Linked DNA regions of Oryctolagus cuniculus. The protein of the gene in region 1 purifies or fractionates together with the protein of each later gene. This does not show direct contact. Links are inferred from orthologs where the notes say so. Each region holds a gene or a part of one and is shown on either strand. Other genes may lie near its edges. The genes, in order: ASPH and LRRC59.

Region 1 (4,375 bases):
TGACCAGACAATCATAGTCATAGAAGAAATGTTGGTTTTACTGCTTGTTCCACATACTCATTTTCATCCGTGTAGGATGATGGAAAGATTCCTGATTTGCATCCCCAGTGCCTTCCCCGCCTCACACACAGTCAGAACTCATTTGCTGGGAAAACAAATAGCTGTGAAAAAAGAATACTCATTATGTAACACGCAGGACTCCAACACCAACTCCGGGGTTTTGTTTTTTATTTTGTTCTGTGTTGTTTCTGTTGTTTTGCTTTGTTTGTAACAAGGACCTTTCTCTGTGTTACATATTGTGTCTGATGCATGCTAAGTCTGTTTCAGGATAATTATGGAATCAATGTGCCAAATGCTTAACAGGCTATAGATCCTCAATGTGGACAGAGTTTGCTCATAATGCCTGAAGACGAAAAGTCAGAATAAGTTAATTTTGGTCCTAATGTTTCCTAAACTCATTCACTCCTTGTTAAAATGGTTCAAGAATTAATTCGGTAGATGTGGAAATGTAACACACATTTCTCAATACTAACTTATCAATAAAAGGCCATATAATTTCCTCAGATCTAATCACTTCTAGGGAGCTCACAGGATAGACAGAACAAAGATACGCTTCACCTGAAAATAACTACATAAAACTTTAATGTCTTGTTTAACAACTTCCTCTGCTTGGTGCTCAGGCAGCACACAGGGTTCTTCTCACTTAGAAATATTAAAAAGTGAAGCTCCAGACCCAGAGGGGCTGTGTTTAACTGACATTTAAAGACAAAAGGAAAAGGAACACAAAAGATTACTTAAATCAAAGGTGAATTATGAGGCTGGTTTTGAACCCCAAACTGTGTGTGTCTTCCCATTTGGAATGCAAACATGAGTTCTTGAACTTAAATGTGTGCAATGGCTTTAACTGCAGTACTTTCACCCCAACTATTCATTCGCTTGCTAATCAAATATTTGAGCACTTCTTATGGGACAGGATCATACCAAGAGTTGGGGATAAGAAATGAGGAAGAGTTGGGATTGAGGCCATAGCAATACACATGAAAATAAGTGCTATATGGGAAATAGTTCTGTGAAGCATAACCGGAGTTATGTTATTTTCAGATATACATGAATGCCCTGCATTTAGCGCTCAGCAACAGTCTAAACTATCCCAAGGGAGGTTTGTTGTTCACATTCAACACACATGTGCATTCCAGTTTCAGTATCCTAAATATGAGTCAAAGGGAATATAAAAGAAACAGAACCACTGAAATATGAGACGAAACAGATTTAAAACATCTGTTCTTGTTCGGTAAGCACAAGGAGAGAGAAAGGTGAATATGTGGTTGATTTTAGGAAAAAATAGAAGCTCATGAGCTATTTCATGGCATCCGTTGATATTTTAAAGGTAACTACAACTCATGTGAAAAAGCTATAAAAAAGCAAAAACATTTCAGGTAATTTCCAAGGACATTCAAATCACTCCCAATCCCCGCTCCCCAACTTCCATCCCCCTAATAGTCCTCCTTTGAGTTGCTCTTAAACGATGCTGGTTAGGCAGGAACTCAACTTTCCCTGACTTTGGCACATTTTCAAAGTCCCCACAACCCGAGTATGCAGGGCAACGATGAACTGTTCGCCTACTCCCGGCTTCAATTCCACTGACAGCCAAGAAAGAGTTGACACGTAACGGCCAGCTCGGCTGCGCCCTGCAGGTGTGGGCAGCACGGGGAGACCCACCCGAGGGCGCGGACCCCGCTCCGCCCCCTTGGCCCTCCAGCTCGCCAGGCCCCGCGAGCGCGGCCTCCGCCCCGCGCGCCAAGAGGAGGTACGACACGCCACGGAGGACGGGGCACCCGGGGAGATGGACCGCAGCGCCGGACCCCGCCCCGCAGGGCCTCTGACCTCTCCGAGTGCTGGTGCTGCAGCTGCCGATGCTGCTGCTAGTGCTCGTGCCGCCGCCGCCGCCGCTGCTGCTGGAGCCGCTGCTGCTGCTGCTGCTCGTGGTGGTGAAGCCGCCGCCGCCGCCCTTGGCATTCTTGCGCGGGGCCATGGCGCGTTCCGCGGGGGCTGGCGAGGACTGGGGGCGAGGAAGGGGGAGTCTTCCTCAGTGTTGGGGAATCTTGGGGGGCGGCCGACGGCAGCGGGCGCTGGATCGGCGCGGGCCGGGGCTCCTGCAGCAGCGTCAGTGCCTCCGCACCTCCCGCCGCGCCTCCGAGGACTTTCGCCCGCGTGCAGGTTGCGCGCGCCAGGCCCTCGCGTGCGCCGAACCTGTGACTCCCTACGGAGGCGAGCGCGCGCGGCTTCCCCGCCCCTCGGCCACGCCCCCGCCCGGCCTCGGCCCGCCCACAGAAGTTGAGTGACGACGGCTACGAGCCAATCGCAAGCGCCACTATGAGGGGGCCGGACCCTGCCGCGCTTGCCCGCCCCCTGCAGACTTGGAGCTGTTCTGGCGCGGCGCCGCAGCCTGTGAGCTCGAGCCGCCTTCAGCTTTCCAGGCTGTCTCGGTCCTTTGGAACGTGGCAAGCGTAGCAGCCGAGCGGATTCTCGCGAGCGTTGGCGGACCCGGCTAGATCTGGATGGGGCGGAGCGCGGGGGCGGGCCGGGGCGCCGGGGTAGGGGGACACGTGTGCCGATGCCTGGCGGAATGCGCCGCCTCTTGGCCTGATTTGTCCCGGGCCCCCTTCCCACAGATGCCGAGAAATGCCATCCCGCTTCTTGGGGAAGAGCTGCCTGTTTCTTACCAGTGTTAACGTGAGGGCGCATCAGAAATTGGGTCGGGGCTAGTCCAGCGCTTACCCCGTGGTCTTGGGTCCGTTCAGGGTTAAAGCAGGGATTTGCCATCCGTGTTTTCAGAGAAAGTTAAGACATGGGAAGGTGCATATGACGCAGGAGGTTATCTTTCTTACCCTGGACGGCACCCAGGATCGGAAATCTCACGCAGCCAGGCCAATGCCTACGTTATCATTCTTCCGTGTCCCCAAGTCTCAGGCCCCTCTTGCGAACTCGAAGGGTGCCTTAGACCTGCAGTGGCTTCAGAATTCGGGACAGGACGTTAAAAATGTCTGAGCTCCTGGCTGAACCAGACCGGCACTGGCAGCGTCACTATCACCTTTGTGTCGCCAATTGCGCACCCTGTGCCCAAGAAATGTTTGTTGATTTGTTAAGTCTGTCAACTTCCTAAGGCTTTCCCCCAGGTCTTGGCAGTGTTTTGCAGCACCTTCTGGGAGTGTGTCGGGAGGGTTCAGGCAGAAGCTGGAGAGGGCAGAGCTGGTGCTGCGTGGCCTCCGTTTACTTTCTTTTCTCCAGAGACACACACACAGACGAGAGAGAGAGAGAGAGAGAGAGAGAGAGAGAGAGAGAGAGAGAGGGAGGCAGGCCCAGGGGCGCTGACTGAGTTTACCTGAAGCGTCTCTTTCAGTTTTTATGGCATAGCCTTCTTTCCCCCAACACAGCCATGCATTCATTCAGGCAACGCCCTATGACATTATCTCAACGAGAGTTGAGGGCATTGGGCAATGAGACAAATCTGAGTGATGGTGGTCAATATGAAATAGCAATGACACCTAACCTGCAAACACAGAAACAAACAAGAAAACAGTGCTCTCAGACCCCAAGATATTTTAACTCTTGAGTTCTCACAAAGCCATGCTATGTGTCCACATTTTCTGGCTGAGGAAACTGGAGGTTCTGCGAGATCCAAGTGAGGTCACGGATGTGAAATCAGTTGATCTGGCCGAGAGTCTACAGTCCAAATCTTTCTTCCTGGAAGAGGCTTCCTTCTGAGTGGAGAATGTCCAACTGGCTCCCTCTTCCCTTAGCAAATACCCTTGCCCCCTTAAACCTTATAGGTCCTACCCGCAAAGATAGGCCTGAAACGCAAAGTGGTGGCTTATCAAAGTCCACCTTGCAAAGAAATTAAATGTCTTCAGTCGCTGACACCAAGAGGCCATGAAGTAATGCTGCATTGCTCCTACATTTCCAGAAACTCAACCCAGAACTGACAAGGTGCACTGCTGTGCACCTGAGGCAGCACCAGGCCACCACAGAGGCTTTGTAAGTACAGATCACAAGAAGGAAGTGGCCACCTAGTTCCTCCCTAGACCACAAACAGCTGTAATGACATTTATACACTCAGCATTACAAAATAAAAATTATAAAATAAAACAAAATGTATCAACAATATTTACAATGGCAGGTCCTGTTGGCTGCGTGTACTTGTGCAGTTGAGTTCCAGGGACCCAATTCCCCTGAGCCTAGTATTAGAATTATGCATTTTATATCTGTCTATGCTTCCTGCTTTTATGAATATTGACAACACAAAGATTGCCTTGGATCCATGAATTCCTTTATACAGGAGCTTTTCTCAGCATGGGGTGAGGGAGATTAGTGAGTC
Region 2 (4,477 bases), on another chromosome or scaffold:
GTGCACGGTGCTGATCCGAAGGCAGGAGCCAGGTGTTTCCTCCTGGTCTCCCATGGGGTGCAGGGCCCAAGCACTTGGGCCATCCTCCACTGCACTCTCTGGCCATAGCAGAGAGCTGGCCTGGAAGAGGGGCAACTGGGACAGAATCCGGTGCCCCAACCGGGACTAGAACCCGGTGTGCCAGTGCCGCAAGGTGGAGGATTAGCCTGTTGATCTGCGGCGCCAGCCGAAATCTAACTCTTTTAAATAAAATAAATCTTGGGGCAGGTGCTGTGGCACAGTGGGTTAGTGCCCTGGCCTGAAGCACAAGCATCCCATATGGGCGCCAGTTCAAGACCTAGCTGCTCTACTTCCAATCCAGCTCTCTGCTATGGCCTGGGAAAGCAGTACAAGATGGCCCAAGTCCTTGGGCCCCTGCACCCACGTGGGAGACTCGGAAGAAGCTCCTGGCTCCTGATCGCGCAGCTCTGGCCATTGTGGCCAACTGGGGAGTGACCTATTAGATGGAAGACCTCTCTCTCTCTCTCTCTGTGCCTCTCCTTCTCTCTGTGTAACTCTGACTTTCAAATAAATAAATAAATCTTTAAAAAAAAAATCTTAAAAAAAAAAAGATGAGTCCAGTGATTCAGCCAGCCTCCTGTTGCCTTTAGTTCTCTGTGCCCTGACTTTTCCACTGTTCTAAAGAATGAGGCCTCAAGTCTCTTCCAGTGGAAACCAACCTCCCAAATGCACACCCCAACACACACTCAGATTCAGCTGTCGCCTTCCTGCAAGACCTATACTGGAACTATGTCTTATGAATCCCCCCACAACCCCGTATGCAGCAGGAAGGCGATGCACCCAGAACTCGGGCCGGCCGAGTCACTTGCCACACTTACCGGCAGGGTACTGAGTTTATTGCAGGACAGATCCAGGACGGTGGCCTTTGGAAGGGCAGCCTAGGAAAGGAGATGAGAAAAACACGTCAAGTCGGCACCTGCCACGGCTCAGGGACACCTGCAAGTGAAGCATTTTCCCAGGAAAGTTCCCACGACTAGGAAAGGATTTTTTTTTTTAATGGCACCGAAGAACAGTGTTGCTGGGGATAAGAGAGGAAAAACTGAGCCAGTTCTAAGGCAGAACAAAAAGAGGGGTTTGGCCACAGAACAGCAGAGAAAGGAAAACCTGGGTGCTCAGAATTCTCTACGGCACCGAAACTCTCAAGCGCCCCTCTTGTGAGGCTGCGGGCAGGGACCGAGTCTCAGAAAGCGCTGCAATTTTCGTACTTCCCACTTCAGGGCCCTCCCGGGAAGCAGGCGCTCAACCGAGAGTGCACGAGGACACGGGAGCCGGCGTGCAAACGGGGCCCTCACGGCCCATCTCCATGTTCCCACGGTGTCTGGGGTGGAAGAGGCCCCGCGCACCTGACCCTTCTTTCGCCCCAGGAGACCGTGATGCACTGACCAGACAAATCAGTTTCCCATAGCAGTCCCGGGGCCAGTCTGGAACAAGGCTGGCCACTAAGGACCCACGGCCGACCTGCCTTTCCAAGTGTCAGAAGGTGAAACGAGACAGTGTTGGCCGCTACAGTGGGAAGAACCACGGTAACAGTCCATCTGTCAGCGCCTGCCACCTTCCAGGCACTTTTAACTGTCACAACCAGCAAATGAGAGATGATCACCATTTCATAAGTGAGGAGATCTAGGCCCAAGAGTTACCCAGCCGCCAAGGGCACTCAGCCAGCAAGCGATGAAGCTGCCATGTGAGCTGGAACCCCATGCTAAGCCCCACACTACATAGCGCCCTGGTGAGGTGAAGACTGGGCCTTGCTAAAGGCAAGGGTCGTCCATCACTCGCAGTAAGGAAGGTGTAGGAAGCTAGCACTCCCGGTGGGGGCGGCTGGGGCCGAGGCTCCAGACCCACGTAGGCAGCGAAGTAGGTAGTAATCGCCCCAGGACGGCAGGCTTCAATTTGTGGGGTAAGAAAGGAGGAAGAGTGGGGGGAGGGGGGTTTCCCGCCAGTTTCGGCGGAGTTGGGATGAGACCTTGCCAGCCTGGCCGGGGAGACTTCACGTTTCTAGTCGCCCGAGGGCTGGGACAGCCAGCTAGGCTGCCAGGTCCCGAGCCACACCCAGGTCTGCCGGGAGGCCTATTTTCCCACACCGACTCATTCATTCATTTTCCAATACAGCCAGCAACCGCTCGGTGGGCTTCGGCTTGGGGTCGGGCACCGGCTGGGGCTATGAAAGTCCCCACCCCCCCACCCCATCACTCATTCTTGGCTGGTGAAGAGCCCAAGGCCAGAAGAGACGGTCTCCCCCATCTTCTGGAGCCGCGCCAAAGTGACACGTGTACATCCCAGGAAGAACACTGCAGCCGGACGTGGCCGCCCCGGGGGCTCAGCCCCCCGCCCCCCGCCTCCCCATGGCTTTAAAGACGGGGAAACCGAGGCACGGGACAGAAGGCGGCCCGCGCGGGGGCCACTGCCAGGCGAAGGGGGCGCCTGCGCCTAGCGGGGCTGTACTGACCAGCTCCTTCACCGGGACCTCATTCAGGTCGCTGAGGCTCAGGTCCAGCTCATTGCCGTCCAATTTGTCGCGGAGATTCCCGCCCTTGTTACCGGCCTTGGTCATGATGACGCCGGCTGAGCGGGCCCGGGTCCGGGCTTCCGACGGGCAGGGAAAAGGAAAAGCCTCTCGAGGGTCCGGCGGACTCGCAGCCAACCGACAACGCCTGCGCCCCCGATCACCGCCGGTGCGAGACCGCCGCCGCCCGTCCGCCCGCCGGCCACACTCGGAGCCCCGCGCCCCGCTCCCACCGGTACCGCCGCGACGACGACCACTTCCGTGTCCACGTCACCTTCCGCGGCCACCGAGACGCGCCGGGCCAGAGCGGCTCGAGGTTGTACGAGTGCGCCCTCTGGTGTCCAGGGGCGTGTAGTGCCGCCGCCGCCGCCGCCACTGGGATCGGGTGCAAAGCTCTTTGAATTCCGCTTCTCTGCGGGAAGCCCTGGTCCCCTTGGCTCCACGCAGAAGATCTGCGTTCGCATCTAAAACTGACTCCGTCAAATCTGACCCCACCCCTTTGAATAAGGAGCAAAAGCTCCCTGTCCTCTTCTTAACCACGCAAAATCACCGCCTTCCGGAAAACTCTACTTCCTGAATTTCTCTTCCCTCTTGTTCCCCATCTATCTTCACCTTCTGAAAATCTGTTCTCCTTCCTGGGCTGGGTGCTGCCTGCTTCTGCGGCCTCCTCCCAAGCTGCAGCCCCTGCCTGGCCTTGGTGCCCATCAGACTTCCGGGGCAGGTGCCCCACGCACCTTTCCCTCTACCCAGCTTCTCTGCCCAGCTAATCCTCAGTCCTGGCAGCCTCCCCTGACCACCCTGAACACCGGGCTAAGTTCGGAGCCCTCCAGGGGCTCTGGCACAGCGCCGTCTGCACTTTTGGGTTAAGTGGGACCCCCGCCCCCGGCACGCTGGGTGTGCCTCCTGGCTCTGCTGTTGCCCTGCCTTGGTCTTATCAGTGGGTCCCTGAAAAATATGAATTAAAATGTTAGCCAGCTGTTGCGCGTGGGCGGTCGAGTGAGTGAAACACGGGAAGAGATTAAGGCAGGAACCAGGAAGCACTCTAATCATCATCCAGAATTTGCCGTCTGCCTCATGTTACACTTTTCTTGGTGGATCCGAATGTGAGGGCGGGGATTGTGCCTTACTCACCTTTGTATCCCCAGAGTCTGAGCCCCGGCGTGAGATTTGCCCATTCGGATGTCTTTGGGAGGAATGAATGAGGCAGCAAACCTCAGCTTGCTCATCTTGAAACGGGCTATTGTCCCAGAGGGGAGCCTTGAAGACCCAGTGAAGTCGGGCAGTACTCCAGTCCTTGGACCAGGACCCACGGTCCCAGCCTCCGCACTGTGCCGGGCTTCTGGGAGACAGGCAAGGACACGTGGATGATGAGACGTTAGCTTTTGGCAATCCCTATGTCCTTTGGCACCCGTTAATTTGCTTTGATGACAAACAGGAGACTGCGAGGCACATTTTATTGTAATGCTCCTCTTATGGAGGAAGAAACCAAGGCCCAGCGAGGCAGAGTAACTTGTCCTCCACCACACAGCTGGTTGAGCACAAGTCCCTTGATTCCAGGTCCTCTTTCTGCTCACTACGCTTTGTTATTGCTACCCCGAAGGACCCTACAGGCCATGCAAATAATTATTATATACCACGTAGGAGGATCTGTGCCCTCACACAGATAAAAACCTGCATTCGAATGCATAGGGCAGTGTGTGTGAGTGGGGTGTGTGTGTGTGTGTGTGTATTGACATCAGAGTAACAGGCAACAGTATTCTTTTTTTTTTAATTTATTTATTTATTTGAAAGTCAGAATTACACAGAGAGAGAAGGAGAGGTAGAGAGGTAGAGAGAGAGAGAGAGAGAAAGAGAGTGAGAGGGAGAGAGAGAGGTCTTCCATGCGCTGGTTCACTCCTCAATTGGCTACAGTGG

The links.
Region 2: the proteins of ASPH (region 1) and LRRC59 purify together in Homo sapiens (co-immunoprecipitation; 3 studies listed by BioGRID and IntAct, with this or other methods). This does not show direct contact. The link is inferred for Oryctolagus cuniculus from reciprocal best matches to the Homo sapiens genes ASPH and LRRC59.

What each region holds. Positions count from the first base shown.
Region 1 is NC_091437.1:87,148,636-87,153,010, forward strand, and holds the start of ASPH (aspartyl/asparaginyl beta-hydroxylase), read right to left. Parts: upstream 2,839-4,375; 5' UTR 2,824-2,838; coding exon 1,885-2,823; intron 1-1,884.
Region 2 is NC_091448.1:26,317,088-26,321,564, forward strand, and holds the start of LRRC59 (leucine-rich repeat-containing protein 59), read right to left. Parts: upstream 2,872-4,477; 5' UTR 2,612-2,871; coding exon 2,507-2,611; intron 939-2,506; coding exon 879-938; intron 1-878.